2 linked regions of the Schizosaccharomyces pombe genome follow. The protein of the gene in region 2 interacts with the protein of the main gene of each other region in a pairwise test. Each region holds a gene or a part of one and is shown on either strand. Other genes may lie near its edges. The genes, in order: spe2 and aha1.

Region 1 (3,929 bases), 730 kb from region 2:
GCTCGTAAGCTGGATATCCAAAATGAACGTTTACCGCCATCTAATAGCCGTCGACGTTCTACGGATTTAAAGGCTTTCGAAGAAGTAATGAATTCGTCTGAAGATGATACCTCTATCGATCATTTGGTAGAACGCTTTGCAGATAAGAAAAGCTCTTTGTAGATACCAAAACCTGCGCATATTCGTTTTTTAGTTGGAATTTTTCAATGAGCATAAACCTGATCCGAGGTTTTAAGCATACTTACAACAAATATCTAAACACTCAAAATAAAGAAAGCAAATGAGTTTACTTTAGCATAATACAAGATAACCGATGACTAGATACATAAGCATTGCATTTAGATATTCATAATAAACTTTTTGGTATTCATAACTATGAAACCTTTTATAAAACAAGCAAACAAAAGACGACTACTTTTTGCATAATGAAAGATTGTAAAAAGGGGTATTCGCATGGCACGCTCCACCGTAAAAAAGAATGATAATAAATATAGCAACAGATAATTTAAAATATCTAGCTGACTGTTCTCCGAACTTATACTGCAGTAAAGCTGGCAAATATAAGATCATATCCAGGAAAGTCATACACTATAAATTCTTCACGCTTATAAGAGCTAAAAGATTTAAGTTTGGCCGAGAAATGCTTCTCTTGAGACGCACCTTTAGCCTGGAAAAGGGTAAGACAAAATTTGTTTGCACCAAAAGTTTTAACAGTTTTTTCGATTGTTTCAGATATGGATCTTCCGAATTGGAATTGCGAAACATTTGTTTCAAATGAAGCATAAGAACAATGTTCTTGAGGCGTAACATGGATTGTGGCATAGCGGTCCTTGTAAATCATATTCGACGAGAACCCAATTGGCTCAAATTGAAAAGCATCAAGCACTGCTTTTTTATCAGAGGTACTACATAAGTCTCTAACACCCGATTCATCAGCTACATAACTGCCAAGGATGTGACCCCCCGAGAGATTGTTTTTTTCTCGAACATAGTCATCACCTCTAGCGCTCCGAACAACATCCAAGGATGGAGCGTAAAACTGAAGCGAGCGTTCGGGAGACATATCAGTCATGAGTACCTCTAGGGTCTCATCTTCAGGATCAAGGGAATCTTCCAGTAAAGAATAATCATCAGCCAGATCAGAAAACAGATGCCAGTGATTCTTGTTTGTCGGACCCACTACATAAGAGCATCCACTTGGAAAAAACAGTTGTAAGTAACGAACTTCTTCCTCCCAACTCGTATGTGGTGCAAGCTGGCGTTCGGGATATAAAAAGTTTTTTCTTGAGTAAAAAATACGAAGAGGACGATCAAAGCCAACACTAGAAGCAATTTCTAATAGGCGAGGCAAACTAGCCAGTAGTGTAGTGGTTCCGCATGTTTTAAGGATAATTTTATGGGCAAACACAAACATAGAGGATTCAGAAAGTAAATATGCATCTATTTCTTCACTATTAACAACGCTGAGGACTTTACATTGGGCTTGGGCTAGCATATCATCCCAATCATTGCGAGAAACAGCTTTTAGTCCCAAGTTAGCCTTTTCACCCGCACTTAAATTGGTTTTTATAGGAGCCGAAAACCATAGTTCCAGCAATTTTTCAGGACCTTCAAATGAGGAGGTGTTAAATTCTTCCGAATTCTCTTGATCAACAACAAGGGTAGGAGACATTTTAGAATATAGTCATACAAAGAACTTCCAATGCTATATGTGCGCTGTGAGTGTAATTCCCAAAACACGTACTAGCTAGTTGCTCCAGTTACACTTTTAGGATATTTATTAGCAAAAAAGCATACAAATAATAACTTAATTGCGGCTGTCGCACCAATTTTATATGATGTTGAGGCTAAATACATAACCACAGAAACATCCTGTATCGATCAAAATTTTAAAACCCTACCCTAAATATTTTTGAATATGCTACAAATGACATCGACGCTAATAATAAATTTGGAAATGATGAGTTTACGATATTTTATACATATGATACATACCGTAGTCTAAGTTTCATTAGCGGCACAAACAACTTTAAAGAACCAAAAGTCTTGTTTTTAATGATTGGTAGAAATATTCTTTAAATAAATTAAGACATCGGTGATAGTAAATAGTAGGACTATACATGCGCGTATAATTCAAGTGTTTACGTTCAAATTAGCGAGCTTGTACCACAGATGATCCGTCCATAAATCGTACATGAAATAGTCGATTAGCATTGGTAAACATTCCTTCTTTAAGGCTAACAATAATAAACTGAGAACCTTTAAACTTTGTTTTAATAAGTCTTCCAATGTTTTGGGTATGACTTAAATCGAGCGCCGCGTCAATTTCATCTAAAATGTACATTGGAGCAGGCTTATATTTAAGTAGAGACATAATAAGAGCCAATGCAACTAGAGACCTTTGTCCACCACTAAGTTCTGCCAGACTATCTTTCCAAATTGACCCAATTTTTACATGAATTTCCAATCCATCAGTGAATTCTTTATTCTCTGGTGGCTGTAGTTCTGCACTATTACCAGGAAGTAGTTCGTCAAAAATTTCACCGAAAGAAGAATTGACTTCTCTCCAGGTTTTTTCTAAGGCACTCCTTTTAAACCGATCAATACTTTTGACAGTATCTTGGATCTTTTTCTTATCGCGATGAATGGTCTTTATCATAGAGCGCAATTTGGCTTCTTTCTTTTCTACACCGTCAATCATGTCCATAACCTTGGGATTAATAGCTTTACGCATACTAGCAAATCGCGGTTTCAAATTATGTAACTGCTCTCTACACTGACGCATGTTTTGAGAGTGAAAATCGAAAATGGTTCCTTGCTTACCAAAGTGCTGTTTCTGTCCATCTATCCAATCATTTTCCTTTTCCAAATGATTAATAGCAGTTATAGCAACTGATTTTTCTCGCTCTAATCGGTCAAACTCGTGGTTCAGCTTTTGAATTGTTAGCTCCCCATTGTTTATTTCAGATTCGAATGTTTTCATTGAGGTACTGAGTGAATCTATCTCTTTGTTAAGTCCAGAAAACTTGGCGCTTTCAATTTCTATTAGTTCGGTGAGTTTCTTTCGATTATGCTCCTCATTAACAAGTGACAGCTCAAGTTCTGCAATTTCCGTCTTTATTAAACTCGTGGTCGATTCACCTTGTACGAGAGATTGCTGATGGTTTTGCAATTCGCCTTCTAATTGTTCACATTCGAGTTTAACGCCATTATAGTCATTCTCGGACTTTTCCAATATAGGAGTAAACTCGTCTAACTTGTGCTTGTATTGATTAAACTCCTTTTCCAATTCAGCCATTTTTGATCCCTTGTTATGTTTCCATTCTTGCATGTCTCGTTCAATTTTTTTTATAGCTTGGTCACTTTGCAATATAAGTCTGTCTAATTCAGGAAGCCTTTGCTTGAGATCTTTAACGTCGTCTTTGTACTGCTGATAATCAGATAAAAGACGAAAAGATGAGTCGGTCTCTCTTTGCTCTATCAAAAGTGTTAATTCATGTTGCTTTAGTTGAATTTCTTGCTCAAGTCGATGAAAATTGGCATTTTGAGTCTTTAAGTCTTTAAGTTGAGTCTCCAACTTTTCATATTCTGAAGTAACTACTTGCAATTTTAGCTGCAGACTGTTCAGCTTTTGTATCTGTAGTAAAGGACCGGCAGATTTATTCACAGACCCACCAGTAAGGGTACCAGATGGGTCATAAACATCACCATCAAGCGTGACACTTTTTAATTTAACTGAAGGATGAAAGGTAACTTTCTTTGCCGATTCAGGGGTATCACAGACTAATGTGGAGCCAAAAACATACTGCATTGCAGGCAAAAGCTCATCGTCATAACCGATTAATTCCAAAGCAAGTTGGGCTTTATTATTAGAAATTTTTTTGGCTGCGCCTACTCTCTCTGCTGAAGCTACGAAGCTGGTAATTTTG
Region 2 (3,929 bases):
TTAATAAACATGGGATTTACCAATGTGTAACATATTATAATTAGACATACAATCAGTGAAAATATTCACAAATCGTGGCATCAGTCAATCATGGCTGTAAAATTCATTAAATTTTAATAATTTTGAAAAAACAAGAGGACAAACTATGGTTATGCATTCTTGATAAAACCTGATTTTATCTATATTTCATTTGCCTTCAAAAAAAGCAAAACTCACAATAGAATACATTATTTGAAACATAGCCTGTATGCAGGATTTATAAAGGATTGTTAAATTTTTTTCTGAGCTAATCATCCATATGTGAAAGTCAAGATCGATTACAGAACAGCGCCAAAACCAAAAACTGTCTTAATGGGACGAATATAATAATCCTGAATATTACCTTGTACAACCTCCTCTTCGCCGATCGGAACACCCTTCATAATCATACGTAAAGTAGTATAAGAATCAGCTTGATCGAAGGTGAATGTTATTTCAGCATAGTGACCGGTGGGCCACGAACTAAGACGCCAAGTTTGCACGATTTTTTTGTTTTCTTCCAGTACAAGGAATTTTCCAACTACATTTCCATGGAACAGAGAGAAAGCGCCTTGCGGACGAACATCGAGTTGCGGAGGAGCGCGAGACCAAGCAGCTACGCGAGCAGGATCAAGGAAAGTAGCATAAAGTTCATTAGCAGGAGCATCAAAAGTATAGTTCTCAGAAATATCGGCAGTATTGACTACTGCTGATACACGAGAGCCATCAGAGCCAGATCCAGCGGCCACCGTGGTAGTACCTTTGTTAGACGAAGTCTGTGAAGAATTGTTTTGCTTAAAGCTACTATGCACGGGAAGTCCACGAGCAGCGTTACCGTTATGTTCTTCAGTGGAGAGATAAACATCGTCACCATGGGTTTGCAACAAAACTTGGGAAAATCCAGAAAAAAGCTGACGAATTTGAGGAATAATTTTCTCACGAACAAGCTCTTTAATGGGTTCTTTTTCCTTTGAAGCAGAGTAAATGTCGATGTCAAACACGTAATCAGAGTATCCTAAGTCATAAGAAAGCTCGGGGCAAGTAATGGAGCCAGTAGCTTCAACTCCATCCTTAGTTTCTCCTTTAAATTCCATTTGTATTTTCAAATCAAAAATAGTAATGACCTTTCTTTTGCGCATAGAGACATCGACATCTCCTTCACAGCTATTGACTTGGGTAATGCGAGCACTAGTGGGGCCCTCAGAAGCTTGGATCTTAGGAAGTTCCTTATTGAAGTACTCATGAGACCATACTCGACAATCCTTTGAAGTCCAATGCCTAAAATTGAGTTAGCGAATCAATCGTTTTATTTGGACATATCCATCGTTTCGTAAATATTCCAAACCTTTGACGATGAACTACTATTCCATATTCAGAAACCAACGCATTGAATAACTACCGACTCAATAAAGAAAAAACTTTCATAATAGGATCAACCCAATCTTGACATCATGATTTGGCTAGCAACAATGTAAAATGGTGAAACCCAATTTCGCTCGTTTATACGAATTCATTCAATAGAATATTATTGTGTTCAACCCAATCAAAAATGTCATTGAAATTGAATAAGGGATAATACGATGGAAATGAATAAAAACATAGTTACATGACTTAAGTTTGGAAATTTTTTTATCCCAACACTACTGTACATACCAGTTATTGGGGTTTATAGATGTGGCCGACATTCCTACTCAATATAAGCTAACAAATGAATTTCGTTCAAATTCTAAAGCAAACAAGGTGTTGCGTCCAATTTCAATCTCATGCTCGTTTCAACCTCCTTCTATATATATACCCCCACCTACACCACCCCCATCGAAGTCTCAGGAATCTTCGAGAGAAGGAAAAGACGAGTATCTAAGAGGACATGCAGTATGCTAAGCTCCGCTAGAAACTGTTGTGCTAACAATGAATGTGCTCTACTATCAATATATACCGCATGAGGTATAGATGGAAGACTAATGGTCTCAGTGGTAAATGCATGTTATTGTATAATAACATCTATTTGCAAATTAATCAACTGCATAATCATGCGGATAGTAATTTAAATTGTTAAACTAATAATGTGTATTTAGTGAAAAACCTCCGTTGGGAAAATTCTGCATCTTTCCATGCTGAAAAGGAAAGAAGATCCACTTCAAGACAGATATGAAGTTACATTTAACTTGAAAACTCTTTGTGTATCATATTGAATTCTATTTTTCAAATTAATAAAAATAAATAGTTTGCCTTCTCAGTTGGAAAGCAGTCGTTAAGCATATGATACAGTTTTCATAAATACACAAGCGTTCAGACTTATAACAATAACGCTTGAAATTAGCAAACATAGAGCGTAATTTGCTTTTAAAAGTAGATTCTACTTTCCAATTAAGATAATTATTATAATCTATCAAAAAAAACTTTTTATATCACCAAAACCGAACCAACCAAAATATGATAACATTTCACCACTCTCAAATGAAAAAAGAACGAGTGATTTAGCAAGAACTACTTGAACCAAACCCTTGCATTGAACAATATATACCGCATGAGGTATAGATGGAAGACTAATGGTCTCAGTGGTAAATGCATGTTATTGTATAATAACATCTATTTGCAAATTAATCAACTGCATAATCATGCGGATAGTAATTTAAATTGTTAAACTAATAATGTGTATTTAGTGAAAAACCTCCGTTGGGAAAATTCTGCATCTTTCCATGCTGAAAAGGAAAGAAGATCCACTTCAAGACAGATATGAAGTTACATTTAACTTGAAAACTCTTTGTGTATCATATTGAATTCTATTTTTCAAATTAATAAAAATAAATAGTTTGCCTTCTCAGTTGGAAAGCAGTCGTTAAGCATATGATACAGTTTTCATAAATACACAAGCGTTCAGACTTATAACAATAACGCTTGAAATTAGCAAACATAGAGCGTAATTTGCTTTTAAAAGTAGATTCTACTTTCCAATTAAGATAATTATTATAATCTATCAAAAAAAACTTTTTATATCACCAAAACCGAACCAACCAAAATATGATAACATTTCACCACTCTCAAATGAAAAAAGAACGAGTGATTTAGCAAGAACTACTTGACCAAACCCTTGCATTGAAAAATTAGGCACTAAAAAGTGATAGTTTTAAACACATTTATACCAGTCATAGCAGTGGAGACAATCGTTCCAGGTATTTGCCTATGCCAATGCATTTCCTTGATTTCTTGTTGACCCATGTGTATAAACATTAACTGAGGAGGAACGTCCTGCAACCCCTCTGCTGCACGACTGTCTTGTTCTTCTTCATCAAGCTCCACCGATAAATCCCATAATGAAATTTGATTATCCGCACCAACGACACCAATAACGGAATCTTCGTTAGGATGCCATTCAATACTGTATATAGGAGCACGGTGCCATTTGAAAGAAGCAACAGGAGTTGCAACTGAGGATGAACTTTTCAGAGAACGAAGGTCCCACACGCTCCAAACACCATTATCAGCACCAGTTGCCAATAAATTAGGTACACGTGTATTCCAACTTAACACATTAACGTCGACACCAGGATGAGCATTGACGGTAAGAGCTGACGTCTTTTGTTTATTTCGGACATCCCAGATGCGAAAAGTGCCATCGCAACTGCAACTGGAAAATACGTTCTTTTCACTAGGAGACCATTGTAGATCTTCGACAGCAGCAGTATGGCTTAGAAAAGGAGAAGAGTCAGTTTGCCAACCACCATTGCTATACTTCGTCAGGAATATCTCATTTGCATTGTCACCAGAAAGTAAAGAATATTCAAAGGGAGACCAGTCAAGTGCATATCCCTCAGTTTTATGACGATTAACAGTATAAAGCGGACTATTTTCCTTACGCGAAACCATCACACCAGGAGAATCCAAAGAACGCAAATGGGGAGCAATGTCCC

Evidence for each region.
Region 1: the proteins of aha1 (region 2) and spe2 interact in a two-hybrid assay, tested with the Schizosaccharomyces pombe proteins (one large-scale study listed by BioGRID).

What each region holds. Positions count from the first base shown.
Region 1 is NC_003423.3:2,875,698-2,879,626, forward strand, and holds spe2 (S-adenosylmethionine decarboxylase proenzyme Spe2), read right to left. Parts: upstream 1,850-3,929; 5' UTR 1,673-1,849; coding exon 536-1,672; 3' UTR 373-535; downstream 1-372. Other genes in the region: calcium-dependent serine/threonine protein phosphatase calcineurin catalytic subunit Ppb1, read left to right, coding at 1-162; cut14 (condensin complex SMC subunit Smc2), read right to left, coding at 2,153-3,929.
Region 2 is NC_003423.3:2,146,899-2,150,827, reverse strand, and holds aha1 (chaperone activator Aha1), read right to left. Parts: upstream 1,776-3,929; 5' UTR 1,704-1,775; coding exon 1,672-1,703; intron 1,297-1,671; coding exon 318-1,296; 3' UTR 27-317; downstream 1-26. Other genes in the region: WD repeat-containing protein Rrb1, read right to left, coding at 3,130-3,929.